Linked DNA regions of Mus musculus: all the other regions are reported to be linked to region 6. The links are microRNA targets in miRTarBase. Many come from high-throughput screens and were not tested one by one. Region 6 holds a microRNA gene; each other region holds the end of a gene's coding sequence. Distances are from middle to middle.

The links. The annotated mature microRNA mmu-miR-15a-5p reads UAGCAGCACAUAAUGGUUUGUG and lies in region 6 at 3,255-3,276, shown strand. An mRNA with a match to its seed (bases 2 to 7 or 8) in the 3' UTR can be bound and repressed. Matches are read on the target gene's strand: a 7mer-m8 pairs with bases 2 to 8, a 7mer-A1 pairs with bases 2 to 7 and ends in A, and an 8mer does both.
Region 1: miRTarBase lists Adam10 as a target of mmu-miR-15a-5p. The part of its 3' UTR that is shown has no 7-base or 8-base seed match.
Region 2: the mRNA of P2ry12 is a reported target of mmu-miR-15a-5p. Seed matches in the 3' UTR shown: 7mer-m8 at 2,964-2,970.
Region 3: miRTarBase lists Prmt5 as a target of mmu-miR-15a-5p. Seed matches in the 3' UTR shown: 7mer-m8 at 1,595-1,601.
Region 4: miRTarBase lists Kpna1 as a target of mmu-miR-15a-5p. Seed matches in the 3' UTR shown: 7mer-m8 at 1,964-1,970.
Region 5: the mRNA of Elmod1 is a reported target of mmu-miR-15a-5p. Seed matches in the 3' UTR shown: 8mer at 1,112-1,119.
Region 7: the mRNA of Dcc is a reported target of mmu-miR-15a-5p. Seed matches in the 3' UTR shown: 7mer-A1 at 735-741.

Annotation. Positions count from the first base shown.
Region 1 is chr9:70,777,187-70,781,654 of GRCm38, forward strand. Adam10 (a disintegrin and metallopeptidase domain 10) reads left to right here. Exons shown (of 16, transcript NM_007399.4): 16 at 814-3,043. The coding sequence ends at 908. Among named protein-coding and RNA genes, the nearest start is that of Adam10, 100 kb to the left of the region's middle.
Region 2 is chr3:59,213,543-59,218,010 of GRCm38, forward strand. It overlaps P2ry12 (purinergic receptor P2Y, G-protein coupled 12), which reads right to left. Exons shown (of 5, transcript NM_001357008.1): 5 at 2,729-4,468. The coding sequence ends at 3,667. All of the region lies in intron 15 of Med12l (mediator complex subunit 12-like), which reads left to right. Among named protein-coding and RNA genes, the nearest start is that of P2ry13, 4.9 kb to the left of the region's middle.
Region 3 is chr14:54,504,321-54,508,788 of GRCm38, reverse strand. It overlaps Prmt5 (protein arginine N-methyltransferase 5), which reads left to right. Exons shown (of 17, transcript NM_013768.3): 17 at 842-1,607. The coding sequence ends at 994. Among named protein-coding and RNA genes, the nearest start is that of Prmt5, 11 kb to the left of the region's middle.
Region 4 is chr16:36,033,319-36,037,786 of GRCm38, reverse strand. Kpna1 (karyopherin (importin) alpha 1) reads right to left here. Exons shown (of 14, transcript NM_008465.5): 13 at 4,357-4,468; 14 at 1,625-4,066. The coding sequence ends at 3,879. Among named protein-coding and RNA genes, the nearest start is that of Wdr5b, 5.6 kb to the left of the region's middle.
Region 5 is chr9:53,908,923-53,913,390 of GRCm38, reverse strand. It overlaps Elmod1 (ELMO/CED-12 domain containing 1), which reads left to right. Exons shown (of 11, transcript NM_177769.4): 11 at 497-1,931. The coding sequence ends at 669. Among named protein-coding and RNA genes, the nearest start is that of Gm39340, 12 kb to the right of the region's middle.
Region 6 is chr14:61,630,883-61,635,350 of GRCm38, reverse strand. Mir15a (microRNA 15a) reads left to right here and starts at 3,241; the gene lies at 3,241-3,324. Dleu2 (deleted in lymphocytic leukemia, 2) reads left to right here. Exons shown (of 7, transcript NR_028264.1): 4 at 2,868-2,914. It overlaps Mir16-1 (microRNA 16-1), which reads left to right and starts at 3,379; the gene lies at 3,379-3,471.
Region 7 is chr18:71,255,014-71,259,481 of GRCm38, reverse strand. It overlaps Dcc (deleted in colorectal carcinoma), which reads left to right. Exons shown (of 29, transcript NM_007831.3): 29 at 403-4,468. The coding sequence ends at 492. Among named protein-coding and RNA genes, the nearest start is that of Gm41772, 610 kb to the right of the region's middle.

The DNA.
Region 1 (4,468 bases), not on the chromosome of region 6:
ACTGTGTGGCCTCCTCAGGAGAGCCTTGCCTCAGAGTGGTTTCTTCTACTTTGTATTTCCCCTCAGCTGTTCCTTGCATTTTCCCGTGTTAGGACAAGAGTGCCCAGGAGTCATGATGGGGGTGGAGGATGTCTGATTTGATATACTTGCTTTCTTAAGTTTCCTAAGTCAGAACCCAGGCACTTGTGTGAGTTGAACACATTTCCAAGAGCTATAGGACACTTTTGAGGCATGGTTGCCATGGTGTCCTTCTTCATTGGAGCAGATAATGCACTTGTGTGTTGACACCTCTGAAAATGATCGTCACTTGTTAAATCTTCATAAAAGTGCTGACTTAAGGACGGCTTTAAAGTCTTCATGATAGACTGTGTGAATGACTTCCCATCCTGCTGTGCAGACAGGCCTCAAGAGTCTGTCAGGGCTCCAGTCAGAGATTCTGCTCTCAAAGCTAAAATAATTCTGACTGGTCAGTCTAATTCTTTAAGTACTTGAAATGTGCCCCATCTCCACTGAGATGTGCTGTTAAATATTAAATATGGATCAGACTTAAAGACAACATAAAATAGTAAAATATTTTAGTAATTTTTATATTGAGTACATGCTACAGTTGGTATTTTTAACTTGAATTGGCCTAGATAAAATAAATATTAAAATTTATTTTTATTTTATTATGGCCACCAGAAAACTGAAAAGTGTTACGGGGTACCTATTTCTGCTGGTCAGTGCCAAAAAATAGCTTTTCTTGGTGAAAGAGTGCTTCCCTTTTGAAGATTAGGAGGTGGTGCTCAGGGAGCTGTTTTGCTTTCGTTGCAGGCACTTTAAAGAGGAGGAGACCGCCACAGCCCATTCAGCAGCCCCCGCGTCAGAGGCCCCGAGAGAGTTATCAAATGGGACACATGCGACGCTAATGCAGCTTTTGCCTTGGTTCTTCCTAGTGCCTACAGTGGGAAAACTTCACTCCAAAGAGAAACCTGTTAAGTCATCATCTGCAAATGATACCCTTACAGTTAATAGTTGAAGAAAAATGGCAAGAGATCATGTCCTCAGATCAGGTGGAATTACTCAAAATTTAAAGCCTGAAAATTCCAATTTTGGGGGTGGGGGTGGGATGGAAAAGGAACCCAATTTTCTTATGAACAGATATTTTTAACCTAATGGCACAAAGTCTTAGAATATTATTATGTGCCCCATGTTCCCTGTTCTTCGTTGCTGCATTTTCTTCACTTGCAGACAGACTTGGCTCTCGATAAACTTTTATCACAAATTGAAATATATTTTTTTCAACTGCCAATCAAGGCTGGGAGGCTCGACCACCTCAACATTGGATACATCACTTGCCAATGTACATACCTTGTTATATGCAGACATGTATTTCTTACGTACACTGTACTTCTCTGTGCAATTGTAAACAGAAATTGCAATATGGATGTTTCTTTGTATTATAAATTTTTCCGCTCTTAATGAAAAATTACTGTTTAATTGACATACTCAGGATAACAGAGAATGGTGGTGTGCAGTGGTCCAGGATTCTGTAATGCTTTATGCAGGCAGTTTTGAAATGAGAATCATTTTCCCTTTTCTTATGGTGGAGTTGGTTCTTACATACATTTTTTTCCTTGTTACATGGCTGCTGTGAGCAGGAGAGGCTGTGCTGAAGAACGCAGCTGATGGCTTGCAAACTGGACAGCAACAGCATTTGGCTTCAGAGTCAGCTCTTTTTGTAGATGTCTGATTTCTGCTTAGTATTTTATACTTTCTAAATCAATTCCATTTTTAAATTGCTAGGTGAATTTTTTCATGCCTTGGAATTATGTTGGAAATGATTAATTTTCATCTGTAGCCTGCTTATTACTTTGTGTATTCCATATACTTCAAGCCTGCTAATTCTGTTTTTATCCAATATGAAAAAGAAAATCAGTGTCTTCATTGAAATACTTGGACAGTTAGTTCTTCAGCACTGTCACTGATCACTGGTAACCACTAGAGATGGGTGATTTGCTCAGCAGGTAGTTGAAATTGTAGATAGGTTTTTCGACGTTGTTTTCCCCCCAACATTTTAGCAACAATGAAGGTAGACAGCACAGTGTCCCATTACAAACTTCTTTTTTAAGCAGATAAAATATTGGCTTTTTTAAAGAAAGAGAAAGCAAAAGCATTTAATGTATTAACAGGCTTATCGCTATGCAGAAAATGGAGGGGGCATTAAAAAATGTAAGCTTGTGACATATTCATTGCTTCTGTTTTCCAGCTACATCACTTAAATTAGAAGTCAGCAGCAGTGATCTTCCTGGCTTTACATAGGAGGCAATCTAGAGAAGGTTGACAAGATTACTGTGTTTGGCTTTTTTTTTTTTTTCCTTTTTTCTTAAGAGTCTAAGGTTTACACAATCACTCACAATGTGACGCGAGCCAGCAAGGCCAAAACCGCTAGAGAAACAATGGGATCTCTCCTTGTAAACTTGTACAGTACGCGGGACTTTTTTCAAAACAGCTTTTTGTACATGATTTAGAGACAAATTTTGTACATGAAACCCCAGATAGACTATAAATAATTCTAACCCAACAAGTAGGTAGCTGTGTATGACACTGCTTTAAATCATTCAAATGCCTTTGTTTTTGGACTGTGCAAAGGTTGGAAGTGGATTTGCATTTCTAAAATGGTGACTTTTATTCTGCAAGAGTTCTTAGTAACTTCTTGAGTGTGGTAGACTTTGGAACATGTACATTTTTTGCTTGTAATGTTATCCTGTGGTAGGGTTTTGCCCTATTTTATTTTGAGTCTAAGTTAAATGTTTTCTGAAGAGATACATGCACTGAACTGTTTCCACTACAAATCAAGATGTGGTTAAAAAATGAAAGGACCAGGACCAGTGAGATCTAATACTACTGTCAGTTTAATGTCCACTGTGTTTTATACAGTATCTTTTTTTTGTTGTTCACTTTGGAAATTTTTACTAAAACCTGCAAAAAATAAAGTATTGTGCAAAGATGTAAGGTTTTTTGAAACTTGAAATGCATTAATAAATAGACTTGATGAAATCAACTTGAGGTCTATGCTCTTTGGACTCAGAAACATCAGAAGTAGCCACCATGCTGAATGAAGGACTATTCAGCAGAAAGGTCTCTCCATGCAAGTGAGGGCATCACTGCTACAGTCCAGAGCCATGGTGCACAGTTGATTGCCATTATCACATGTACACTGTATGTTGAAAGTTACTCAACACAACGGCTTCTCACTGTTTCTAAGCAGTGTCCAGGACTTGTCCTAGTGAAGAGCTGAAGCTAACTGGAAACTTGTAGTCTTCTTTCTGTGTTCTCAAAGTTCTGTCTGGGTGCTAAGTGCTTTTATTAATGTCTGATTTATCTGGATGTGGTAGTGCCTATCCATAATTTCAGTACTGTAGAGGCTAACGTAGGAGGATCTGGAGAGAAAAGGTAAACCTAGGCTATATGCAAGATTCCTTCCCTAAACAATCCTGGTAAAGAAATTACCTAGCATGCACGTGGACCTTGTCTTCAATTCATAACTCCCCTGTCAGTTCCCCCACACAAAAGAAGACTTGGTCTAATGAAAATGTATTTGAAATTCTGAACTAACATTTTCCCGTCTTACCAGATTTATTATATATTGTAAGCAGAGAATTGACATTGTAATATTACCTACAAAAGAAATTATTTTGTATACAGGATAGTGCCCTTTATGGAATAATATGCCCCAAATTCCTATTTTAAAATTAAGACTAGCTATAAATATTGGTATATATTAAGTAAGTAAATATGTAATACTTTGTTTTTTCTTTTGTTTTTGTTTCTGTTTTTGTTTTTTAAGTGGACGTCTCACGCTGTAGCTGGCCTTGAACTCACTGCCTTTGCCTTGCAACTGCTGGAATCAGGGGCACTTATATTTGTGCCTACTTTTTCATACTTTTACAGTAGCGTTACTTAATAATTAGGGGGTTGTTTTGTTTTGTTTCCCCATGAAACTGGTAATTTTTACCAAGTCAGATAATTGCAAATTTGTTGCTGCTTAAATTTTGTTTGGAATTTATTTTTGGTATAGTTTTCTAAATTTCAACACCAGTTTACAAACAAATATATCATTACAGTTTCGGGATTTAGTGATTTCCATAGCACCAGGCAATATGTAGGCTGGGGAAGGGTTTATCTAAGGGAAAGACAGCTTTATAAGATTAGTCTTGGCTTTTCAGTATCTTTAATACTTTGTTGTCTAGGTACTTCAAACTTGTTGCATTCATAGTTGAATGTAAAACTGAAGATTTGCCCAAACTGAGCAGTTTTCTATTTCTAAGTCAGGTCTTGGGCTGCTATTGTTTTTTAAGGCCCAACTGTTGCTCTCAACATGGTGTCTTTGGTAGATGTGAGGTGCATACTTGTCCTTGAAAAGGCCTTTAAGTTCTCCTGGAGTATTTTTAGTCAAATGTCTCAGAGCATCTCGGAACAAAAGGTT
Region 2 (4,468 bases), not on the chromosome of region 6:
TCATCCTGAAGTCCTTATGCCAAGAGTCAATGATTGATACAGGAAAAAGAAGCTGAACGGACACTCAGTTCTGTCTGGTACACACTCAGGTCTAAGGTTAAATTTGTAAATTGTCCAACCAGTATGGTCAGATGGGACAAACTGGTCTGTAATGGAAGTTGCCTACACCTACTTCCTTTGCTAGACCTCCAGGATTCCTGAGCTGGATCAAGGCAAAGAGCAAAGGGACTTCTGGTGATGTAGTTAACATGCATCATATAATAACATTAGAAATGTTGAGATGTTTGCTTTCATTTTCACTAAGGATGTAAGTTGAAGTGGGAACTCAAATATTCCTAGGAGAGAACTCTTATTTACTCTGAAATCTACTGAGGTACTTTCCTTAGAGCATGTGAATTTTTTAAAACTTTCCAATTAGGGTAACCAAAAGTGATAATGAGTTAAATACACTATGTAGTTTACAAGCAGATGTCCTGAAGTGAAAATCAGTATTAGAAAAATCTCTTCAGAAACAGGCAATAAATTCACAGCAATACTTGAAATGCTTAATATTTAGTTACAAGGATTTTGTCATAAAAGAAAGCATATGTTTTAAAGATGAAATACATAGGAGATGACGCAGTAGGTAAAGCACTTGCCACACAAGCATGGAAGAATAAACTTAGATCTCCTGAGCCCATATAGAAGTAGACACAGTAATGTGTATATGTAATTCTGTCATTCGTATTGCGAGATTGGGGATATGGAAACAGAATTCCTTAGAAGCATGCAGAGTGGTTGGTCTGGTATATGCAGCAGTAAAAAGGAGACTCTATCTCAAACAAAATGACAAATGATGTCTGACACCTGAGGTTGTCCTTTGACACCTATATGTGTGTGATAGTGTACACAGGCCCACACTCACAAGGGGACATGCACACACACACACATACACACACACACACACACACACACACAAAACATACACACACACAAAACAACTATTTGAAAACTCTAAACACCAGTGTATAGATAGCAAGAAGTCATTTATATTTATACTAGTGTGTAAGTGTTCATGCTTATTTTAGTCTGTGTTAATTTTTGTCTTAGTCTATGTTAATACATAGACACTGATCATAATGATAAACACAACTTTCCCATATTTTGGTTAAGCTGTTACGGATGGACATTTAATTTGTTTGACTTTTTGAGTTGTTACTGCTGAACATATGTATTCAGGTTCTCTTGTATGTTTGTTTTAACATATTTGTAAGAATAGCTTGATCAAGTGTTAGGTATCAAATGTTATATGATATTTTCAAAAAGGTTTCTATAAGGAGTGTATCAATGTATAATCCCATTGAAGATAGAGTTCTCTAATCCTTATTAAAATATTTTAAGTCAATTTGAAAATTATAAGTAAAATACACTGTGCCATGTAAGTATAGATTTATAATGTATGGACGTAATTCCTTTTACTTTCATATTATCCACTCACTTTCCTTCTGGAAATCGCCTTCTAATCTTCTTCCCGTTTTGCTAAATCCATCTATTTCTTGGTGCTTATGATTACTGTTGTGTATCCATATCTTCAGTTCCCACTCGTGACACTAATCCCACCATGGCCATTGCTCACAAACTATGAATTGGCTGCAGGTGTGGCGAGAGGGTCTGTCTCTGATGTTTCATTTCTGTTGCTAGAGTAGTAATTCCAGGGTTGGCAGGTTCTTATTTTTTTAAAGGGCTATGGTTTTAGGTGATTCTGGCTGAATAATCTTCCTTGCCAGCCCTATTGTTGTGTCATGGAAGTCTTAGATATTCTGTCTGCACAGCATGGCTGTGTTCTTGGGAAGCCTTACTGTAGACATTGGGAATTTCCCCCTAAAGTTGGAGAAATCTTATTTTTTAAATTAAATTATTTATTTACTTTACATCCCAACCCTGGTTTTCCCTCCATCCTCTCCTTCTAGTCATCCCCTATCCCAAGTCACTCCTCCATTTCCCTTCAGAAAAGGGGAGTCCTCCATGGATGTCAGCCAACCCTGGCTTATCAAGTTGCAGTAAGACTACCAGCATCTTCTATTGATGCTAGATGAGGCAGCCCAGTAGGAAGGAAGGGTCCCAAAGGCAGGCAACAGATGTCAGAGACTGCCCCTGCTCCTGCTGTTAGGAGTCACACTTGAAGACCAAGCTACACAACTGTAATATATGTACAGAGGGCCTAGGCCAGTCCCCTGCAGGCTCCTTGCTTGCCAGGTCAATCTTTGTGTGACCTATGGGCCCAAGTGGGTTGATTCTGTAGGTTTTCTTGTAGTATCTGTCACCTCCTTGGCTCCTACCATCCTTTACCTCCTCTTCTGCAGAATTCTGCAAGCTCCACTTAATGTATTTGTCTGTGAACCTCTGCATCGGTGTCAGAAAATACCCTCTAAGGAGCATTCATATTTGAAACTAATGATTTGAACTTCCACACACTGGATATTTTGTTTATATTAAAGCTATCAAATATGACCCTAGTTTGGTCTTATTGCTTATATGCATAAAATGATGTATCACACCATACCCAGTAAGCATACATCAGTTCTGTGTTGACTAATGAAAATAAGATAAAAAATACCACCTATGAAACATATGAGTTCTGACTACATGTGTCACTCTTTTATCATCACATGAGGACTTATAAATGGGACATGACTGTCCTGAAGAAACTATATAAATAATATAAAATAAAGCTGTACTGGCCATAGTTCTTAAATACATTTACTGTTTAATAGAGGCAAAGAAGGTTGAACCATTATACCTAATAGTTTTTGAATGAAGAAATTCCAACAAAACGATACAGAATAAATGCATTTTAATATTATACACATGATTACAAACATAATCTCAAGTAGTTCAATCACTTTCTTATTGGTAGATGTGATGTGTGATTTGGTAATTGTAGTTGCTTATGTTTTCTTATTAAGAAGTGTTCTGTTCATTCAAGCAGCAGGCATTTTCAAAGCTAGTTAGCAGATAAGTACCGATAATGACACTCTACCCAGTAAACTTAGAACCTTAGTAAAATTGCTGCCTCTAGTGTTAAGGAAGGAGTAAATATTTTTAATGTTAGAATGTTATGAAAGTGTACTTTTGTTAAGTTAATAATTTTATTCATCATGTCTGTCCTTTATGGTAAGATTCGCTTTTTAAACCTCTACCATCTTAATGTGCATTTACAATAATCCAGGCCTTATCCATTGTCATTTCATTTGATTTACGTCCCTTTGGTTTTGTTGTTATCCTTGTTATAAATGGGAAGTTGGTAATTACTGTGTTTGATGTATCAGATCATACATACATTCTCACTTATTACAAAAATAATATTGTTATTGGTAATTTATTTTAAAATGACAATGAATATTACATTTCATGTTGCTAATTTTGAAGAAATCAGATAAATGATTTTTTTTTGTGGTTTGCCTGCAGTATAGCAATGGGATGCAGTTCATTTTAAAATACACCTGCAGACTAAGATTTTTCCCATATATGTACAGAAAAGGTAGTTAAAAATTATTTTCTTACTTTATTGATTATTTAAAGAATCATTAACTCAACTTCTTTTTAGTGAATGTTAATATATTTGTATGGTGATTTCCTTGGAGCAGTCTGGATATTAAAGACTGAAGCAGCCCCTTGGGTAATGTTCTACATTGGGGTCTCTTCGCTTGGTTCGCCACCTTCTTGTCCTTTCTTCTTGTTTGTCCCAGATGTTGATGTAGAGTTTGAGCACCTCAGCATGCTTGTCAAGGAATTTCTGAAAGACTTGCAAAGAAAAAAGTAGATGAATGGATCAAGGCAGGCGTTCAGTGACGTCAGCCATAGGGTGCTCTCCTTCACGTAGAACAGGGTGTTCTCAGCACTGCAGTCAAAGACGGCCCGAGTTTGGCTCAGGGTGTAGGGAATCCGTGCAAAGTGGAAGGGAACAAAGCAAATAAAGAATACAGCAATGATGATGAAAACCTTGACGTTTACCTTTTTCTTGGGAACTTTGGCTGAACCCCTTGTTCTGACATAAGACCGATAGAGTTCTTTGGTAATGAGGCTATAACAAACGATGACAATTAAAAAATTAATCCAGAAAATGACTTGGCAGATGTAATTGACTATTTCGTGCCAAACTAGACCAAACTCTGACTTTAAGAAAGAACATTTTGTTACGTCCTTATCTTTTGGCCTCCTGTTGGTGAGAATCATGTTAGGCAGTGAAATTAAGAACATGAAGGCCCAGATGACAACAGAAAGAATCTTTGCACCCAAGAGATTGCTGGGGCTGGACGTTTTAAATGGCCTGGTGGTCTTCAGGTAGCGGTCAATGGTTATCAACCCCAGGAACGATATACTGATATACATTGTAAAATAAAATGTGACTGAAGTAACTTGGCACACCAAGGTTCTCAGAGGCCCGGCTCCCAGTTTAGCATCACTAAGAATTTTAAATGGAAAAGTT
Region 3 (4,468 bases), 7.1 Mb from region 6:
ACTTGCTCTGCAGTCCTCTTGGGGATACCCAAGTAAGCTACCTGGACTCCCCACATCTCCAGCCTCTCTTGTCCAGTCTTTACCTGGAAGAGGGATGAATTTTACATTATTTGAGTTTGCCTTTCTATCTAAGCCCCTCAGCACCTTCCCACTGCCCTCAGGTGAGAGCTGGCTTGGTGGGTTGGCTTCCAGTTCTCTCTGCTTTGCCTGTGAGGTTCCTTGTTCATGTCTCCACCCTGCTAACTGCCCTAGGTTTCCTGGAATGTCTCTACCATCAGGCCATTTTCCTGACCTCCAAGAATAGGCCAGCTTCCTCTTGAGTGCTTTCATGGCTCCCTTCCTGTACAGTGTTTACTGTGTCCTTGTCACTGTCCGGGGGTTCCATATTTTGACAGGATAGCTAACTTTTATGAGAGTCAATATATATTTTTTTAAAATTTATTTATTTATTATATGTAAGTACACTGTAGCTGTCTTTAGATGCCCCAGAAGAGGGCATCTGATTTAATTACAGATGGTTGTGAGCCACCATGTGATTGCTGGGATTTGAACTCAGGACCTCAGGAAGAGCAGTCAGAGCTCTTAACCACTGAGCCATCACTCCAGCCCCCAAGGGGCAGAATATTTTGTTGTATTTATCTTTTGTTTGGTTTTTGAGAAAGGGTTTGGAATTATAGCTCAAGCTGGCTTTGAAATCCTGATTCTCCTGCCTCAGCGTCCTGGGTGTTGGGTTATAGGTTTGTCCCTACACTTGGCTGTTTATTGTCTAATCTCTGTCTGTCCCACCATCATTGCCAAGTACAATTCCTCATTCAAGCCGCCTGTGTCTTTCGTATTACAGCAGCCCATCACGGTGCACGAAGGCCAGAACATCTGTGTGCGTTTCTGGCGATGCAGCAATTCCAAGAAAGTGTGGTACGAGTGGGCGGTGACGGCCCCCGTCTGTTCTTCTATTCACAACCCTACCGGCCGCTCCTATACCATTGGCCTCTAGCCCTGCACACAGTGTCAAAACCTTGGAAGCAGCTCTGAGTTCTCTTCCTACAGCACAGAAGGTGTAGAACATCTGCTGGTTCAGTTCCTCAGTGAGACCCTCAGCCGCCAGAGAGGAGCGGTTCCGGCTGCTTTCCTACCTAATGTCATGGTGGCCAACGGGTAGGCATTCCCGGACTGCCAGGCATGGTGGTGCATACTCTTTATCCCAGCACTCCAGAGGCAGAGGCAGAGGCAGATGGATCTCTTTAAGTTCAAGGCTAGCCCGGTCTACCTAGCAAGTTTCAGGCCACCTAGGGCTACATAGTGAGACCCTGTCTCCAAAAAACGAAAAAAAAAAAAAAAAAGAACTAGAGGACACAAGCCAGCAGCAGTCTTCAGAGCCTCTGGCTTGGGCATGAGAACTCAGCAGCTCTGGATGAAGCAACCTCAGCAGATGCTCAGCCGCCAGAGCTCCCCAGGGGTCAGGAGAGAAAGCGAAGGCTGTGGAAGAGCCCGGGCTGCGTGCATGAACACTTGACCTGCGCTCTTCTTGCCCTACTCTGTTGTTGTTTGGGTGGTTTGTGTCTGAAGGAAACAAATAAAGTGAAGTTACGGCCTCTGCTGCTTTACCCTGCTTCTTTCTGCCTGCCTGTTTCCTGCACCTCACTCAAATCCCGCATGTTGAGGTCTGTGCTCTTGTCTTACCTAAGACCCAAGGAGACCCAAGAAGCTGGGAATGGTCAGTAGTCGAGCAGGAAGTACTCAGTGGTAACCTGTGAGGTTCTGAGTCCTGCTCATGCTGCGTTCGACCCCATGTGTCAAGCCCTTCAGCCCCGCCCCGCCCCTAGGACCTCTGGTTATATGCTTTTTCTGTATGGTCCATTAAGTCCATTTGTTGATTTCTCTAGGAAAGAGACACTGTGGGGATATGACTAAAGCTCGCTAGCTTCTCCCTTCCTTAGATGGATCGCAGGCGTCTCCAGTAAAACCACAGAGTGATTAGACCATTCCTCCATTTTGCAGAAGGGAAATTTGAAGTCTGTACAGTGAAATGTTACTACCTTTCCAAACATCTCTAACAGCCAGTAACTTTTTGGAATAGTGCAGGGAGTGGGCAGCTGAAGTGTCCAGGAGTTTTGGAAAACCTAAGAAAGTGAGGGTTGGCACCATCAGTTCTTTTTAGAACAATACTGCAGAACTCGTGTCAGCCAAGAAATTATCTCAGTTAACATTTGCAATAGGGGGCCATGCAGAGTCTGATGTCAACAGCAGTGTAGCAGAGGAGCATGTGACAATACTTAAGTCCCAAGGAGTGCGGTCAGGAGGGGCAGTCTAGAGGGTGGGTAGCTGCCTACCTAGGATGGAGGTATGGGGCCATTCAAAACCATGTCCAAGAAAACAGACTACCCTCAAGTCAAGGTTATCCTCCATGGGCTTTGCCCAAGCTGTTGAATCAGGTGCCTGTTGGCATCTAGATCTGGAGAGAACAAGTGAATCTTCTCCATCCGTTTGCTTTCCTTCTGTAAGTCACTTAACCAGGGAGTTAGTGGTGAGCGTCTCCCAAAGATGCCTTTAAAGCTTGAGTCCTTGCCCATCTCCTGGGTTACTAAGAGACATTTGAGTTTGTCTCCTTTGTAGGGACTTAGTCCATGGGAGTGAGCCTTTGTTCTGATGGATCTCACAAGTGCACGCCATGATCTGGAAAGAGGAGTCCAGCTGCCATGGTTCCTTGTCAAGAATATAGGAAATAGTGGAGCTTTAGGCTCCCCACAAGCCTGAAGGAACAAAGCGAACCTTTTGGGATCAGAGTTGGTGAGAAACCTCATAGGGCTGGGTACCCACTGCCGCTGCCTGCATCTTATGACAGTATATACCTAGGGACTGATGTGGTCTCAGGTCTGCTGCCTGAGGGGGCCGCCCAACAAGAGGGAGCCAGTCCTGTTGTCACTCTGGAACAAAGGGATTGGGATTTCTTCCTCAATTCTCAATCACTGGAAAGTTTGTTTATTGTATTACTATTATGTTAGCTTCTCTGTTTTTTGTTGTTTCTGTTTTTGTTTTTTGCTTCCCTGGGCTTTTGATTTTCACCACATGTTCCATTCCTGAGGCCATGTAGAGAGAATCACTGGGACGGGCTTCGTAGAGACAGTGCCAACCAGCAAGTTATTTTTATTATTTATTTATTTATTTATTTACTTTTTGGTTTTTTGAGACAGGGTTTCTCTGTGTAGCCCTGGCTGTCCTGGAGCTCACTCTGTAGACCAGGCAAGTTAATTTTTGTTACTGAGTTTCGGGTCTGCGTAGCCCTGGTTGGCCTGGGATTCAAGATCTACCTGCTTCTGCATCTTGAGTTCTGAGATTAAAGATTTGGGTCCCTAAGTTCCGCAGCTGTGGACTATTTTTTAAGAGTAGTCTTGGCTCATTACAGAACACTGCAGTCTCTAAGGCAATAGTTCCACTTCTTAATTGTGTTGCCTTAGAGGTGTTTTGCCCAGGTCACTGACTTCACCTAGGAGATGGTGCTGCCGTTGTCCCCCCAAACTCCAACATTGGGTAAATTCTCCCCGAAGTGGCTGATTGGTTTTTAAGCATTCCTGTGCCCCTTTGGCAATGTGGACTCATTTGACAAAGTCCAGGCGCTGCTGTGACTGTGGGTGGCCAATGTGACTTTTGAAGCAAGGATGGAAGACTAGCCTGCCGCGCACTGTGGGTGGGATGCAGCGCCCCTTGGAGGGCTGGAGGGCTGGGTCATCGGTTAGGAGTAGTAGCTGTTGGTTCTTCAGAGGACCTGGGTTTAATTTCCAGCATCTACATGGTGTTCATAACTTTCCATAACTCCTGTTTCAGGGGATCTGCTGCCCTCTTCTGAGCTCCATAGGCAGTAGGTGGGCATACACAGGCTGCACAGACATGTAGCCCAAACACCCATACTTCATAATTAAGGGATCTTGACTCAAGTTAGAGCACTTGAGATCTTGACATTTACCACCTTAAAATGAATAACATTTAACCCTACTGCTTTTAGGACTTCTAGAAGTACCTCTCTAAGCCCACTGAGATTGTCAGGCCAGGCAGGGTGAGACTGGGAGAAGGATCAGTTGAGTCCTGGAGTTCAGGGCTACAGTGCATTAGGCCACTGAGGACCACACTAAGTTCAGCATCAATGTGGTGACTTCCTGGGAGTGAAAGACTACTAGAATTGCCTAAGGAGAGACAAACTGGCCCACGTCAGAAATGGAGTTAGTGGCGGTTTGAATGAGAGTGGCCTCAACAGGCTCGCATACTTGAATACTTAGCCCCCAGTTAGTGGAACTGTTTGAAAAGGATTAGTAGGTGTGGCTTCATTGGAGGAGGGATGTCACTGGGGGTGAGCTTTGAGCTCTCAAAAGCCCAGGCCATTCCCAGCGGGCTCTCTCTGTTTCCAACTTGTGGATCAGGAAGAAACCTCAAGCTACTGCTCTAGCCCCATGCCTGCCTTCCTACTCCTCCACTG
Region 4 (4,468 bases), not on the chromosome of region 6:
CACCATGTGTCCCGGGAAAGCCAGAAGAGAGCTCCGGATCCACTGTAGCTGGAGTCAAAGCAAGATGGGTGCTGATGTGGGTGCTGGGAGCCACACTCCCATCTTCCTCGAGGGTAGTGACTTCCCGTAACAGATGACCTCCTAACACAAGAGGTCTCCCTCCAGCTCTAGCAATGTGATATTTTTAAAACATTAAACCTCTACTTTATTAAACATTACCCTGATGTCTTAGTACTCATAAGCTGTTCTTTTGTAACAATAAAGAATATAGAATATCATTTATATACAGGCAAATATTATATTTAACTAATTTTGAATGATAGGAGTCTAAATACTTCCAACTCTGCAGACAGATAGTTAATTTGTCTACCTCAAACAAAAAAAAATGGCTCTACTAATTTAGGATTTCAAAATGAAACTGCAAGTGAGCAAACTTTCTAATTTGGAAGGTATGTATGCACCCTGAAAAGAAACAATCCCCGCTCAAAAACTGACTCCTTTTTCTTATGGCACATTACTCAACACACTTTCCAACTTAAATAAAAAGTTCCAGCCCCTAAAAACAGCTAAAATGGCTTGCTTACTGATATGAAAATTTCCCCCAAATTTAATCAGACATAAAATAAATCCCATAACCCAAGGAAAACCTGTTTTACAATACAGCCCCACGTTTGGGGTCAGACAGCTGAAATGTTTATTTAGCACTACAGAAATCAATCAAAGTTGCCGGTAGGTAGTCATGTACAACAGAATTTGGTTGACAAATTATACTTACATATGTTTTCTTAGGCATAGTCAGCAGCAACTGGAATAATTCAGATTTATTATAGGACAGTAAGGCTGAGAAACACCCGGAGTCCAACAGCTTAGTCTGGTGTGTGGAAGAAACAACCCTGGTGCAGCAGAGTTTCCAGCAGGGGGCTAACGAGGGCAATCTAAAGATGGCTTTGACTGGTGGCAAGAACCCGTGTCCCACAGCCAAGTCTCCTAACTGTGTTCTGTACCTGGCATCTGAATGTTCTGGGGTGTTTCTCCACCCGGCTCTTTACCTTTTGGTGCTTCAGGTACCAGGTACCTTTACATCTCAAAGTCTCTGAATGCTTCTTTAAAAATCAAAGTTCTCAGTATAAAATACATACTTGGAAAGTCTGGAAGGAGACAGAGAAGGAAAACAACAAAGCCACTTTGCCCTGATCACTATCTAAAATCCTTAAGAGGTTTTATGTTATAAATACTAACATGCTTCTGTAATAAGTAACACCTTTCTGATAAAAATCTTCAAAAGATTAAATTAATAGACTTTGCCAGGTGAAAGACTAAAAATAGGATTTACAAGTAACCCCTAAGATTCCACTTGCGTTAAGAAACAAAAGTCTTCTTTGTAAGTACTCAGTTCCAGAACATCTGAACTTGCCAGGGTTTAGCTGAATGCCATGTTTACACTGAAACAATCATTTTACTATAAAAACAAAGTTCAGAATATTTAAAGTTCATGAACTTCTGGTCAGGCTTAAGATAAAAGAGCTCACACTGATTAATGGACCTGAACTCATTGGGCCACCCTGATATTGCTACAAAAGTTCCAGCTGTATGCTCTTGGTAAGGTGAGGTGACAACTCTGTGTGCTTTCTATTTCTTTTCATTCAAACTCCTTTATAAGATGCAAAGGTTTTAACTATCCAATAGAAGGTACATAATTTAAAACATTCTATAGAAATAACATGTTACCAGTAATTTACAATTTAAAAAGAAATCAGCCACAAGAAAAGTCAAAGCTAAAAACAAGATTTTTACTATGAATCAGTGCTTCTATTACCTTCTCAAAGAAGTGATACTGTAATGTGATGTAAAGGCAACATTGAAAGTTCATCTTTAAATTAACCACCTAATTTAACCCTAAAATTACAAAGAATCAGTCTTGTACAGGTCAAGTTCAGTAAACTAACATGTTCTCTCAGCACAAAGCAGCACTAGAAAACAACAGGACAGACGGGAGTTGACTAGTTTTGTGGTATCTGCTCCATTGGTAACAGACATCAGACAGCATCCATCCCAGAGCAGACACAAGTAAAGACTAGGGCAAGAATGCATCACACTCTTGGCTGAGAAATGTCCTTTGTCTCTGGAACTTTCTAGTTTGAATGAAACAAATTTTTCAAAGTAAATCAGGTCGTGTAAATTGGCTGCTTAAATAACATCATGATGAGGTATGAGAGCTCTGAATATTCCTTACATTCAGCAGGATTTACCAGAGATGTGCAATAGCTTGTCAGGGCAACTTCTAGATAGCTTTTATCTATTTTGGGGTTATGATGAATTCTAGAAGAGTAGTCTAAAAAGATTTAAAAGGGTATGCTCTGAAACAGACATGAGCAACTTTTCCTTCAGAATTCATTTTGAACAGAATATCATTGGGGAAAAAAAAAAAGACTCCTCTCTCTGATAGTGTGTCCCAACATTGAGCCAAGATGGCCAACTAGCACCGAGAAGTCACATTGAACTCATTTGCAGTTCTCTTGGCAATTATCCTTTTTTTCTTGTTTCTTTCCCCTTCTAGTCCAAGCACAAATGTCAGTGAACACAGTACTGGAAGCGCCATTTGCAGGTACATTACAGTCATCATTAAATAAGCAGGAGGTGGGCATGTTCTTCCTAGGGGAGGTAGGGTACTAGTAGGAGATGAAATAAAAACAGGGGATACTGAGGTTATTGGATCACTGCCCTTTTAGTCTAGAGGTCACACTGAGGAGACTAGTATGCTTTTAAAGATAAGGATGCTGCACAGCAAAAGCATGTATGCAGCATGATTACATTAGAATCGAGCTGCACTCAACAAAGGAAAAAAAAATCCCTAAGTAACATTTAAATATGTGTTATCTGCCAGTCACGAAGAGGAAAAGCACCTAGGGTGACTCCAATTTACCAGGCCCTTGGTCAGGACCACAAAGCCTGAGGATCATTTGTAATGCAGAAACACAGCCTCTCGTCACACCGGTTTAAACAAAGTGATGGGTTTTATGTTCTTAGTCTTTAATTGGATTTTTGAACATGGTTTTACTTAAGGACTTTTAGCCTTCATACCAGCGTTAAAACTGAACCACTTCCAAATCCTAAGAAACAAAAACAAAGAGAAGCAAAAGCCATACAAACTAATATATGCTTCTCTCCTTCCTGCTTTAAGGAAATCTGCCAAGCCAGGATCACATTTAAAAGTCAAAGTGTTAATTCTTCAGCATTCCTGACAACTAGAAGCACATTCACTGAAGGCTGAAGGTGAGGGATTGGATGGTTTAACTTTAATATCTGAAGAAAATGACTCCATTAGAGGAAAGAAAACCATCCCATCTCAATAAGGATTAATGCAAATGTGGCTAGAAAAAGCCACCAGGTACTCCAAGGGTTGATTCACTGTGGAAGAACTCGAGAAGAGTACTCTGATGTATACACAAGTCTAAATATCTCCCTTGTAGTTGTGTAAAATTCAAGATAAAGGTTTTAGTTTTATCTTTCAATGTCATTTTCCCCACTTTACGGAATGAGGAAGAGTCCTCTTTTTTCCCCCACAAAAAAGGGAGCCACATTAGTATGTGTATATATTCCCATGACTCTAATGTAAGTGCGGATCTCCAAAGCTTAGGGATTTTTCCATAAGAGAGTGGGCCGTTCTGGTTACCCTTGTAATAAAAGGGTATTCCACCACAGAGAGCCAGAGGTTTTCCAGATGTGTGTAAGAGAGCAGGTGCGCAAGGCAAGCAAATGAGCGCAAACAGTATTATGGAAAACATTTGAGAGATTAGCTCCATGAGGACTGTGGGCTCCACAAGAGGACTTGACTGGATAGCCTGGTCTGACACAGGAACAAGAAGGAGAGGATTGCTTCAAAGCTGGAAACCTTCCATAGGAGCTTCACACTGCTGGAAGATGTACTGCTGCTGGCTAAGATCAACCTGGGGTGCGATGCTGCTGTCCTCATCTTCGGTCCCAAAGTAATGCTCAATAAGATCAAAAGCCTTTTGATAGATCTCCTGGTTTTCATGACTCTGTAAGAACTCAATTTTATCCAGACCTAAAATGAAGGATAAAGAATCTTTCTTGAAAACCTCAGTAACTACATTCTTAATTCTACTTTATTGATGTAAAGACTCTATACATACGCATCAGAAATGATTATTGCCATTACATCCAAAGCCCAATATTATAAATTAACATCTTAAATTAAATGCACATTGCAAGCAGTTTCTGGCCCAAGGAAGCAAAGTCTCACTACTGTTGTCTCTGTGTCACCCACTACTCCCATGTTCATGTTTTCATATGATTATTATTGTTCATTTCCCTCATTCTCAGCCAAACTCTTACCATATGCTTCCTCAATCAAAGCACAGTAAGGATTAATGCCTGAGCCGTTTCGTTTGGCTTCTTGTTCTCCAAGCCTCAGGATGTTTTCTAAGCCATTTAGGGCAACCTGTAC
Region 5 (4,468 bases), not on the chromosome of region 6:
CTCAAGGTTGAGCTAGAGAGATGGCTCAGTGGTTAAGAGTTCTGATCGCCCTTCCAGAGGATCCCATTTCAATTTCCAGCACCCACATAGCAGCTCACAGCTGTAACTCTAGCTCCAGGGCATGCGATGCCCTCTTCTGGCCTTCGAGGGACACCATACCACGTGGTGCACAAACAAACATAACAGGTAAATACTCATAAACATTTAAAACTTTTTACTTAAGGAAAAAAAAATATGTTTCCAACGTGATTCATATTCAAGAGGTGACATCATTGTTTTGTTCTCCTGCTTTATGGAGTAAAAGTTTTCTCTCGTACCAGCTGCAAAAGGAGGAGATTATAAGCAGCTTGGTAGCTTCTACTCCACTGATCTCACTAATCATTGGTGTTTGCTGTGACCTCCATGGAGACTGTTCTGGTCTAACTCATCCACTGAGGATTGGAATGTGACTAAGGATGATGACCTTGCAGACTTATCACTGTCTTGTCCCAAACAGGCTATTTGATGCACGAGTTTCACAAGTTTTGGATTGAAGAGGACCCCATGGACATAATGGAGTTTAATCGCGTGAGGGAGAAATTCCGCAAGAGGATCATAAAACAGCTGCAGAACCCAGATATGGCGCTGTGCCCGCATTTTGCTGCATCGGAAGGTTTAATCAACATGTAGTGCCCACACTGGTTTCAATGAATACCCCAGAACACTGCCTCATTGTCATCCTAGATCTCTGCTTAGGTGACAGCTCACACACCTAATGCACATAAGTGACTATATATATATATATATATATATATATATATATATATATATATGCATGCCTTTTGGTACAGTATTTTCATCTCTTGGTCATTATTCCAAGATTCCCCCAAAATCACCATTTCTGGAGCATCAACCCTCCAGTGATTGCTCACATTGTGGCATTGTGCAGTGTTAACATCTGTCCTTGGCACCCAGGTATGAAAAAAGTTTTCTATTTTTTTAGATTTTTTTCTCCCCCCCCCCATCATTCCATATTAAAAATGTATAATAATTCTCTAGCTGTAATTTGTACGTAAGAGAGTTAGCTGAATCTCGTTCTGTGTTCCTATTTATTAAAATGTCTCACGAAGACTGCTGCTAGCCTCTCAAGCTGGACCCTTGCTTGTACCTCATTTGGGTAAAGCATAAGACTTTTAAAATAATACAGACACATGATAAGCCAAACTCTTCCTGCACATATAACTGCACTTCACCAGAATGTAATGAGGCTATAAGAAATTAGCTTAAATAGGAACCATCCTTGTGTGAAATCCTGCCGAACTGTAGCCTAACTTAACCACAGTACAACTGTGTCCTAGTCATCAGGATAGAAAACTACTACTATTCTCCCATCGCTTCATGGCTTGGATGTCTAAATATGTGTATGATGCTCGGAGCCCCCAGAAAAGAAGCCATATCTTTCCAAGGCTGCAAAGGGTTTCTCACTATCTGACTCTTGCTGAACCCAGACTTAGTTCTTAGCACTCCCCAGATCTGAGTATCCTTGCTTAGGGGATTGAGTGCTGACTGGTTTGTTTCTATGTTGAGGGGCAATATTTTAAAACTTTTGTCAAGAAAATGTGTTAGAACACAGGAACCTAAGCAATGATACCATGCAATATTTCCTGAAATTAGCATCCTTGTATCGGTGGAAGAAGTGGCTTGGAAGAAAAAAAACAAGATCATCCTCAAACTGCTAAGAATCATCTTCTTTAAAATGTAATTTAGTTTGGAATTATGACTGTAGTCTGTTGAATAGTATTTACCATGGTATTTCATACCCGTGGTATTTTATACTTTGGGACTATCGATTTTAGTATTATTAGATGTTTGTGTAATCACTTGCTTATTTAAATAAATTTTGAGTACTGCCTAACTGTCAGTATATGAATAAATTGCATATCATTCTACAGTAATGGAGAGTGGGTTTCATTCTGATGTCTGTGCCCTTTATAGGTCTTAAGATATGCAAATATGTGACTGGGTAGAATGTCAGTGACAAGAAGCTGTTTGTTTATAAACCACTGCCTTTCAGAGCAGCCAGGTGTAATTCAGAATGTGCTATGGCTGAGAGATTCCCTTAATCTTGAGGTCCGATGATGCTTTAATGAATGAGCTATTTTTCTTTCTTTCTTTTTCATTTTTGACAGCATCTCATTATGTAGCCCTACCTGACCTGTGACTCACTGTGTAGACTAGGCTGGCCTGGAATTCACACAGTCACCTGCCTCCATTGCCAAAGCACTAGGATTAAGACATGCATCCCCACTTTTTCTTCACTACTTACTGTAAAATCTGACTTGACTACTGCAAAACATCTGCTATTTAAAACCCCTCAGCTGCCTGTGGTTGCTTAGTGGGAATTCCCCCATTCTAGGATTCTGCCATCCTTTATCTTTCCATCCCAGAGCCAGGTGGTAACCTTCCTACTTCCTCTCCTTTAGCCTGTGCCCTCTGTTAGACAGTGCAAAAGAGAGAGTCGGTCAACACTTAACACGTCCCAGGAATAATGTCTCTAGAAGAAGGAAAAGCTATTAGCCAAGTAGGTGCTTTGCCTTGAGCACAACAGTACTTGCACCTGCAGATAAAGGCATGGCACCACATGCTGGGTAGACCACATCTGTGCACTGCCTCTTCTTATCTAATATAGAACTATAACACCAATGCACCTTGATGGCATGGGATTCTTCGCTCAAGTTATTCTGCTCTGGTGGAGATAGCAGATGTTACAAAGCTAAGACATTCCCTCCTGGTTCCTTGGAAGCGTTCCAATGGTATCTGAACATGGCCACAGGATTTTAGGATGAGCAATCACTGCCAGCTCCCTGGATGTGTTATTAGCCTCCTCGTTCACACCGCATTGTAGAAGATGCATTCTACCCAGTAGCCCAGAGCAAGGTGAGAAAAAGAAAAGGAGGTTTCAAAAAGCAGCAGAGACATGTGATGTATGCTATGTGTGGATGTGTTTCCCTGGAGTATTTTTAGCTTGCTCATGTTTATTCCACTGAGCAAGGGTTGACCGCATAGAATGTAAATTGTGTAGCATGCTTCCTTCAAGGTTTCCAAAACACTACTTGATATATGATTTTTAAAACACTCTAGTTTGCACTACAGGGGGAAAAATAAAAAATACTCTTGTTATTGTGCTAGAGTGAAAAGCATTTGCCTGGCAATCCATCATCTTGTCTGTGTTTGTGAAGAAACTTAGATAGACATCATTCCAAGGACAAAGCTGGGGTAGTTTTACATCCTCCAAATCAGAGAATGTTTGAGAGAGACAGAGACAGGGACAGAGACAGAGAGACAAAGAGACAGAGACAGAGATGGAGAGAGGGATGGAAGGAAGGATGGAGAGAGAAAGGGAGGGAGGGGGAGAGAAGGGGAAGGGAGGGGAGATGGATGCTGTCGACATCTTTGTCGACAGGTTAAACTGGGGCAGTTTAATGAAACAGTGATATTACATGACCAAAGTAGACCAAAAGACAGATATAGATAAGAGTTCTCTACTAGTAGCTCAATGATGCAGATACAAGTCCATCTATTTTTTTCCTCACTCTGGCAGAAGTGCATCATGGGATCCTGTGTGCCCATCAGAGGTGTGGGTTTTGTCCTAGTTGAGAATTTCAACTCCAACGATTGGGCCTCAAGTATGATGGGGAGATGAAAATCAATCTCCATGGGCAAAAGCTTTACTGATCTGCAAACATAGGAGGCTGGGTCCAGACTGAATAGGTGTGTTGATGGGACCAGAGTGGGTGGAGTGTGGGTGGAAGACTTAGAGGGTTCTAGAGAAAACAGGGTAAAGGGAGAGAAAATGGAAAGCAGAAAGTCTTAGCCACTGAGTGCAGAGCCACATGGAAGAACCCAAGGCACAGTAATACTTACTCGGCCAAAGCACTGCCCCCAGCCTCCTGGGACATAATCAGGCAATGCTCTAATTCAGAGACAGGGCAGGAAAGCAGAACAACATTAAGGAGGGCAACATTAAGCCCCGGAAAGAGGTTCCAGCATGGATTCCATTTCTAATGCTAACAAATGCTAGCATGGTGAGCTCCAGTGCCGTGAGCCAGGACCCTGCTAGCCCTGACCTTGCACAGCCACAGCTGCTGGTCAGCATCTGAAGTCAAGCAGCTTTTGTTTGCCCCCTTGCTTGCTTTTCTTCCCTTCCTTTTTTAAATTACTAACTTTATTCATTTCATTTCGTATGTGTTTTGCCTGCATGTGTGGCACGTATATGCTTGGTGCCTGCAGATGTCAGAAAAGGGTTTCAGATAGCTGTAAACCACCATGTGGTGTCTGAGAATTGAACCCAAGACCTCTAAAGCAGCAGCCAGTGCTCTTACCCTATCTGAACCATCACTGCCCCAATGCTTTTCTTGCCACGCAGGCTCATAATATTTCAGTGCTGTGCCAGAGGCTTCAAGAAAGGGAAGGAAATGAGCAAGGCATG
Region 6 (4,468 bases):
ATTTCATTGCCTCAGGAAACTTTACTAGTGTGGAAAGTATTTTATAGAAAGTCCCTGCTATCTCCGAGTCTGAAGTCAAAATATTAAATCCTTTCTTTAAAGTTTACAAATAAGCAAAGATTTTTTTTAAGGCTTATACATTTCTTTATTTAATTTGTGAGTTTAACTGCATGTATATATGTGTAAGTGTGTATGGACCTGATATGCAGGAGAGATGGAGACCAAGGTCATCAGTAACAATTGAGTGAAATTCAGGACAGCCCTGCTTATATGATCCCTTGTATGGTCAGGGGGCAGTTGGGGGACGGTAAAATTTAAACAGTTATACCAGGTTCTGAATTTTGGTGGGGTGTATATTCATTTTCTTTGTCTGAGACAGCTTATCTGCCTAGCCTTGAATCTGTATAGTAATCCTTCTACCTCCATCTCTAGAGTGCCAAAATTATAGGCATGTTCCACTCACAACACTTAGCCACCCACCTGGTTTGGGTAGGAATTTAAATTTGCAAATATAACAATCTGATACAATGTGATTTTTTTTTTCACTTTTAAGCATAAATGCACTGGGATAATATCCTCAGAACATTTAGTGTGAATTATTGTTGTCATCTTCTGTTCTGAAATTTGAGCTTTTTAAAGTATGAGTGTTCTGCCTTCGTGTATGTCTGCAGTGCGTGCTGGAGGAAGTGCTTAGGCTCCATGTGGGTGCTGGGAACTGAACCTGGGTCTTTTACAGCAACAAAATGCTCTTAACCACTGAGTAACTCTGCAGCCTTGCAACTTGAATTTCAAAAATTTCCATGTAAAAAATGAGCAAATTGAAATACATATTCAGTTGTCAGTGATCACCATACCTGACTTGGCCTAAACAATCAGTTTAGTTTTCCTTTCATAGCCATTAAATAAAATTTGGGTATGTTGTTGTTGTTGTTGTTGTTGTTGTTGTTGTTGTTGTTGTTGTTAGAACAATTTCTTTTTCAAATATGTTACATAAGCTCATTTTCCTAGAAAAAAATCACATGGAAATGGAATTTTTAACTATTTAGTAGTATGCCCTACAAATGATTCTGTCACTTTTCACATATCAAATTTTAGAACTAGGAATTTAAAATGTTTAGAGAAGAAACAGTTCCAAAGATTTTATAGTGGCATTATTGCCACATCAAAGATATTAACATACCCAGCTTTTAACTTCCCAAATTTGTTGCAGTATTTCATGCCTTTAGCTTTGCTATTTAAGTAGATTTTTTGTGCCCTGAGAATTGTTGCTCTGTCATCAGAACTTAAACCTGGTAGTGTTTTCTCCATGTTCTTAGACAACTTCATAAGATGGCTATGGTTCAGAAGCGTCCTACAAAGGCTTATATGTATGTTAATGGTTCATTTGCAGATAGGGAACCAGAAAGGGTCAGTGTACTAGAATAACAGCCATGGGAGACACTCAAAGGACAGTGTCAGGGTTCGGACCTCAGATTCTGTATTCTGTCATTGTGCTCCAACAAATTACTGGTTGCTTATTATTAAATTCAAAAAGTATCCCATTATTCTGATGCAGTCAAGATGATGATATAGCTTGGGCAACATGCCTATAAATGTTTGTGAAGTGCTAAGCTTTATGGAAACAAGATGAATTAATATTAGAAGTTTTATAAGGTAAAAAGTAAATGTTTCTAAAGAAAAATATTAATGGAAACAAATAGAGTTGAAGGGGGAAATAGGACAATTTGGTTTGATCTATCTTCTTAAATTGTTGTAAAATTCTGTTTTCTTATACGAATAATATTAATTTCAGGTATTTAAAGATTGCCATGTATTCCTATGTACACTCAAGTTACCTTCTTAAGCAAAACATTTTGTTTTCTTTTCAGAATGGCTTTTTTTTCCTTTTAAGAACATTAGTAAAAAGTTGAACTATGTAAAAACCCAACAAAGAAAAATTATTTTGGTCCTTAGGCCAGAATATAAACCACTGAATTTGGAACGGGGCATGATGGTGCACGCCTTTAATCCTAGCATGCAGGAGGGAAACCAGGCAGATAGATCTCTGAGTTCCAGTCCAGCCTGGTCTATAGAATGAATTGCAGGACAGCAGCCACTGTCCTCAAAACCTCTCTCAAAAAACCACTGAATTTGAAATTATAATCATTGTATAAAGATAAAGGACAAAATCACTTTTAGCAGCTTTTATCTTTATTTTCAGACTTTTTTTTTTTAAGCTGGCACACTTGAAAGCAAAGGTTTGAAGATTTAAAGACGTTTTGATATTTCAAATGACCCAACATGAACGGGAATGGAGAAATGGCATTGACCCACTAGAAAACATTTGCTACACAGTAATCTAGTTTGAATGGAAAATCTGGTATGAACTGGAATAATAAGAACAGTTCTTTGTGAAGGGATGGCTAAGTCCCCCACTAAACAGAAAAGAGTCTTCTTAATAGTGTAAGAAAACCTAGATATTCACACACACATAAAATGAAGTTGGAACTTAACGTAGTAAAAATTTTGTTTCAGCTAAGTCAAAGTCCTGTGGTATAAAATGATACTCCTTTAAAGGACTAGCCTTTTTAACTGGGAAACACACAAATGGTTACTTAGGCTTGAGCTACAGGATTTCTGATATATCCTTTTAGGAAACCAAATAGACCTGTTATCCTAAGATGATGTTCTGGGTAATAATAAATGACACTGAACTCACAATAACTATTCCAATATTGAGATAAATCTTGTGTTCATGTGTAGATTGGGGGTTATATATTTTTGGGGAATATGTTTCATGTGTATGTCTTCTAAATATTTTGCTAGTATAAATTTCTTGAAACTGAGCTCTTACATGTTTGTTCTTACATGTTTCCTTTAACATGAAGCTTTGTCCTATGGATTTGGCTTTGAAAGATGTGCTGCTCTTAATAAGGTAAAAACCAACTTTTGTAGCTATTTCATGTGTTAAGCACATTCAAAAGTTGTTAGTTTAATAAATGAGGTTCTTAAGTTGGTATGGGAAAATGACTTGCTTTTCTCGTTTCATGACTACAATAAATTACAGCACTGTATTAAGTTTTCTGTACGCTTTTATTAAACTTATGATATGGAAATACTTTTTATTCTGCTGAAAGCCTATAAAATTATGCACATACCAGTGTTAGATTTTTTTCAAACATAGATTTTATGTGTTCTACTTTTTCCTAAAAAGCCTTTTCTGTAAATTACTATTGAGGTGCTAGGAGTTTTCAAAACCAACCCTTGGAGTAAAGTAGCAGCACATAATGGTTTGTGGATGTTGAAAAGGTGCAGGCCATACTGTGCTGCCTCAAAATACAAGGACCTGATCTTCTGAAGAGAGTACCTGTCTTTTTATTCATAGCTCCTATGATAGCAATGTCAGCGGTGCCTTAGCAGCACGTAAATATTGGCGTTAAGATTCTGAAATTACCTCCAGTATTGACTGTGCTGCTGAAGTAAGGTTGGCAATACTCTACAACTGTAATTCAATGTGTATTGATGTTACTTGTGTGTTTACACGGTTTTTCTAATTGCATTAGTGATTTTATGTTTGGTATGATTCTGTAATGATGTTAGTAACAACGCTCTACATATTGTGTCTGTTAAAATACTATATAATTGTGGGATGGTAATGCAGCTCAGTTGGCCAAGTGCTTCTTGCTAGCATGCACAAGGCCATGGGTTTTAGCCTTACCACTGCATACCAGGTACACTTGTAATCCTAGATCTGAGGAAGTGGAAAAAAGAGAATTAGAGGCTTAACATCATCCTTGGCCATAAAGCAAGTCTAAGACCTATGTAAGGATCTGTCTTTTAAAAACAAACAAAACATAATGACTTCTGTGTGAGGAACTGATTATAGGACTTCTAGATACCCAGATTTGTAAATGCTTGGATCTCCTGTATAAAATGTCTGCTCGTGACCAGTGCATATCCTCCCTTATACTTATTTAAACTTATCTCTACATTGTTTTTAATGTGTAGTGCAGTGGGATGTTAACATGGATAGTTGTATTATTCAAGTTATTCTCTTAATGATGAGAAAAAAACTGTACAATTCAGTACTAATGCAGTTTTTGTCCAAGAAATAAGTTTTTTGGTTTGGTCTTTTGAGCCTGGGTCTCACCATGTAGACCAGGCTGCCATGAAACTCACTGAGATCCTCTTGCCTCCGCCTCCCAAATTCTTTGTTTAAAACTGTAGGCCCCAATGCCTGGCCACCCAAATGTTTTGAATGTGTGGTTGGTTGGATCCACAGATGGAGCACTGACTAATAATATAACAAGTATTTTTAAGTCTTGAACACCTTTCCAGAGTTTCTTGAGAGCTACAGTGGTACAGAATATACCCAGTACCACCAAGGCTCGAGCTCTCTTTCCAGCATTTCCATATAAAAGTTTATTTGAAAGAGTTTAGGAAGTACCAAATTGTACATGAATTTAAACTCATATTATTACTTATAATA
Region 7 (4,468 bases), not on the chromosome of region 6:
GGAGCATGTCAGGGGATGCTCAGAATAAACTATAAAATAGGCACCATTATCATTTCACAGACAAGTAGAATTATACAACAGAGAAATCTTCTAACTTGTTCACTACTACAAAGCTAGCCATTGGAAGAATATGACTTAAAATAGTATATTTTTAACAGTGAAGCTTTTTTCCCTATTAAAGGTATAGAGTACATGGAAGCAGTATTCAGTAGCTTATTGGTAGCTCTTTTGCTATTACAAGTTCATTGAGTTAAAATATTCTGAGAGCTGCTCTACCTATCAGTCCCTATGTAAATCTCAAGAATAATAAGTGACCCAACTTACAGCCAGACACTAAGTGGATCTATCATGGTAGGAGCCTACCAAGACCTCATCCTGACTCCGTTCTCATTCTCTCTCCAGGTATATGAACAGGATGACTTGAGCGAACAAATGGCAAGTTTGGAAGGGCTAATGAAGCAACTCAACGCCATCACAGGGTCTGCCTTTTGACACTCATTGCCAAAACGTTGAGATCTTCTGGGAACTTTACAGCATACCAATTATCCATAAACAGCACACCTGTGTCCAAAAACTCTTACCAGTGTACAGGTCAACCATCTGGACCATTCGGTTAAGGAACATCTGAAGCACTTCAGAAGAAAACAGTATCCCATCCTATATGGACATCAGGAGTATACGATGATGGTCATGAGGTCCCGAAGATGCATCTTCACTGCAAAGTCAAGGCTGAAGCTGCTAGCATAGTTCTGGGTCTTTGTCACTGCAGGGACCATGGTGTCATAACTAATGCCTACATTTTCCTTCAGTGAGACCTTTCATTTTCTGTGTAGGTCTAGTCTCACAAGTGCATTATTTCAGCCTGTACCATGCCATAACAAATCAATACAAACTCACTATTTTTTTCAGCTACAGAGCATCCATGGTAACTCTCTCACTCCATAGCACCAAAGGATTGGATATTTTCCTGACAGCATAAAAGAAAATAAGTGAATAAGCAAAAGGCAGTGAATGCTTGTTTATAGCTCAATCATTCCATCTCACAAAAGTGGCTGATGTTAGTGAGTGGGTATAAACTTTTTACCAATTTTAGCAAGTATTTGTAAATCCATCCTTGATTAACGTTTATGTCTAGCAAGTAGAAACTTAAAAATCCTCAACTGGTGGCATCCTGCCAGCAACAACACCTTTCTAGAAGGAGAATACAATATGCAATCTTCTCAGACACGTGGTGATTGTGTACTTGAGCTTGTCATAGGACATTTTTCGATTTCAGTGGCTTCTATGCCACTCCACACTGTGATGGCCTGTCTGGGTTTCACTAAGGCTTCTTCTTCAGGAGTTTGGCCAGAAAAACTCCACCATCCTCCATCCCCAACCATTCCCCTACTTCTCCTGGGCAAGTAGCCTTAGCTAAAATGGCCAACTCCATGCGTCATATATCCTGTGTCCCCAATATCCCTCTGTGGAGATAGTAGACTTCCTGAGAGCGAGCTCAAGAAAGAAAAGGAGCATGAAAAACCATATCCCAGGGTACCTTTTCATGAGTTGATGTCCCTTCCACCAATAGCATCTTCATTGAGCGAGCTGTGCCAGGCAACATTGACAGATGTTGACCACAGGTTTCTGTTGGCAAGGCAACCTTCCATCCCATGCCTAAGACAGTCAGGGAGGAGAGAGGGATGGGTGCCACTTCACATCTGCACATCATAACTCCTGTAGGTATTTTTCCATGCAGCATCTAAACTGTGGACTAGAATTTTAAACTTCTATCGCCATGTATCTACGGCTTGAAACCAGCTGAATATAAGAACATTCTGTGCATTCCCTTTTAGCCCATGAACTTTCAGCGGTATGTGGAGTTAATCCCTATTTATGCAGCTGAGTCGCCAAGAGGGAACTAGTTTGCATATTTATCAGTTAGGTGACTTGAAAACTTGATGAGAGTTTCAGCTGAATTATTCCTTTCAGCTCTGCCTTTGATTTCAAGCTTGAGTAGGTCATAATTTTAAGAGAGCATGGCAAGGATAGGATCTTTACAACCTAATAGCTCCTTTTATTAGGTGGGTAATTATATATGAATCCCTGAATGAAATATTTTGAGCAAAATGGCACTGTAACAGAAATAATAATTCAGATTATTTTTTTACAGTTTTATGTCGGGAAGGAAATCTGATGTCAAAGAGAGGGCTTGTTCAAATGGTTCATTAGAAAGTCTGGTCCATTTGCAAAACGTTTCCTTCAACAAGAGTGCTTGTTCAATTTACTGAGATTTTTTTTTTTTTCTGGAAGTACTTTCGAGGAACTATGTGATGTTATTCAATGGGACAGAATGCTTTTGTTCAATATTTGGGCACTGAGGTAGACAGCAGTTGACTGACCTGAAATAAAGCATTTCTTATCATAGCAATGAATATTTTAAAAATAATCCACTACTTCGAACTGGAAAAATGTTTACTGAACTACCATAACTTCCTCCACTCCCCAGAGTGTATTCCCCTGTCTAATAATAAAAAGAAAGGAGAGCCACTTTTTAGAGGCATTTGATATCAATGAGAGTCACCTCAAATTTCAGGTTGGGGTTTGCTACAAACCTCAAATTTCAAATTCCATGGAATAAGTTATAATGAAAGGTGTTCTGTAACATCTAGTTGTAAAGTTAAGACAACCAGAATTTTTATAAAACTCGAGGTTTTTCAAACTTTCAATGATTTCAGGGAGTGTAATCTTTAAAAGTTGGATGTATGCTTTCCATTTTTAGTCAGAGTTATATTTCCTCCACAACTCTTGAAAAATTCAGTAAACAAATAATTTATTTTAGCAATTGGTGACTCTTAATAAGTCGTATTGTCATGCCTTGAATATACATTGGAACCATGAGACTGGTTTCATTAACTCAGTGATTGTAACATGTATTTAGTCCAACACGGCTTCTGCTGAGCTCTTGTTCCCATCATCTTTCCAGTGGCTCACGTGTACACAGTAAAATTCCCCAGGGTTCCAGGTGGCAAGTGAATTCCAAGGTCTATGACGGTGTGAGGCAGCCTGAATTTGTCTAGCTTGTGTGTCTAGCTCACTCCATACAAGACCCTTTAAACTTATAAATCTCTTTGAGCCCCACAGGGCAAAGCTGAAGAGGCAGCCAGCATCTCTGCCACCAGCAGTTAGTTCTCTGGAAATGGGAAAAAACATCAAACTTGGCAGGAGGACTCAGGATTTTATACACTATGCTCAAATGAAAAGCAAGAGCCTGCTTTTAAGAACTTTGCTATATTTTTTCTATTTCATTTTGATAAGAAAGTAATTTCCATTCCTCCAGAAATTTCTGCATTTGTTTAAACTGACAAAAATAAAGAGGGCTCACAATATATTCAAAACATTTGTATAATGCTTTAGTCAAAAGTTAAGTATTTCTTAGTGCTTATAGCTGCCTCCATATAATAGACCCATAATCTTCTAGAATATTTAAGTAATACAGCTTTATATTTGGCTCTTATTAAATACATACTCAGTTCAACAACCCAGAAATAAAAAATTCAAACCAATGCTATAAGAATCCGACTTACTTAGGGATTTCTTTAAGGAACTGGACATAGTAGTAGTAGTTTGGGTTTTTTCAAAATGAAGATTGCTAAGAATGAGGCATGTGCTCAGAAAAGGTGACAGTTACAAAAAGAGACTCCAGATTAACGTTTTTAAGCCAAAGGGTGTCATTCATTGGCTTTCCCAAGAAACAACTCCCCAAGCATGGGTCCAGAGTTTGTTCTCAGAGATGATTGTCGAAAGTTCCCTCTCCTTTGGAGCCTTCTCCTAACTTTTTTACTCTAGTCAAAAGTTAAGTATTTCCTAGTGCTTACAGCTGCCTACATATAGTAGACCCATAATCTTCTAGAATATTTAAATAATACAGCTTTATATTAAAGTCACCTACAAATGGAACACAGTGTCTCAGACATGATAGATGCACAGTGAGTCCCACGAACAGTTACTTACGTCCTAAGAGGCATCCTGCCATTTTTCATAAAACCTTAACCTGGGTTCTGGAAGTGTTGGAATGCTTATTTCCAGTCAGCAAGACATAGGAAATGGAAAACTCCCAAGTCTTGCGTGAATCTAAAGAAATAATAGTAATGTGGACTTCAAAAAGATGCAGAGCAAGTGTATAGAATCTGTATATTCTACCTTTCTTATCAAGTTCTCTTTATGCAACCACAGGATGTCCCCAAAGGCCAAAATTTAGTATCAGGGCTTCATATACCTGGGTAGATCTCTTTACTGAAATGTAAGTGAAATAAGTACCTAATAAAAATTCAAAATAAAAACAAAAAGAAGAAGAAGAAGAAGAAGAAGAAGAAGAAGAAGAAGAAGAAGAAGAAGAAGAAGAAGAAGAAGAAGAAGAAGAAAGGGCCAAGCTACCACACTTTCCTTTTCTAAACTCAAATTGAAAGCAACATTCTCATCATTCGTA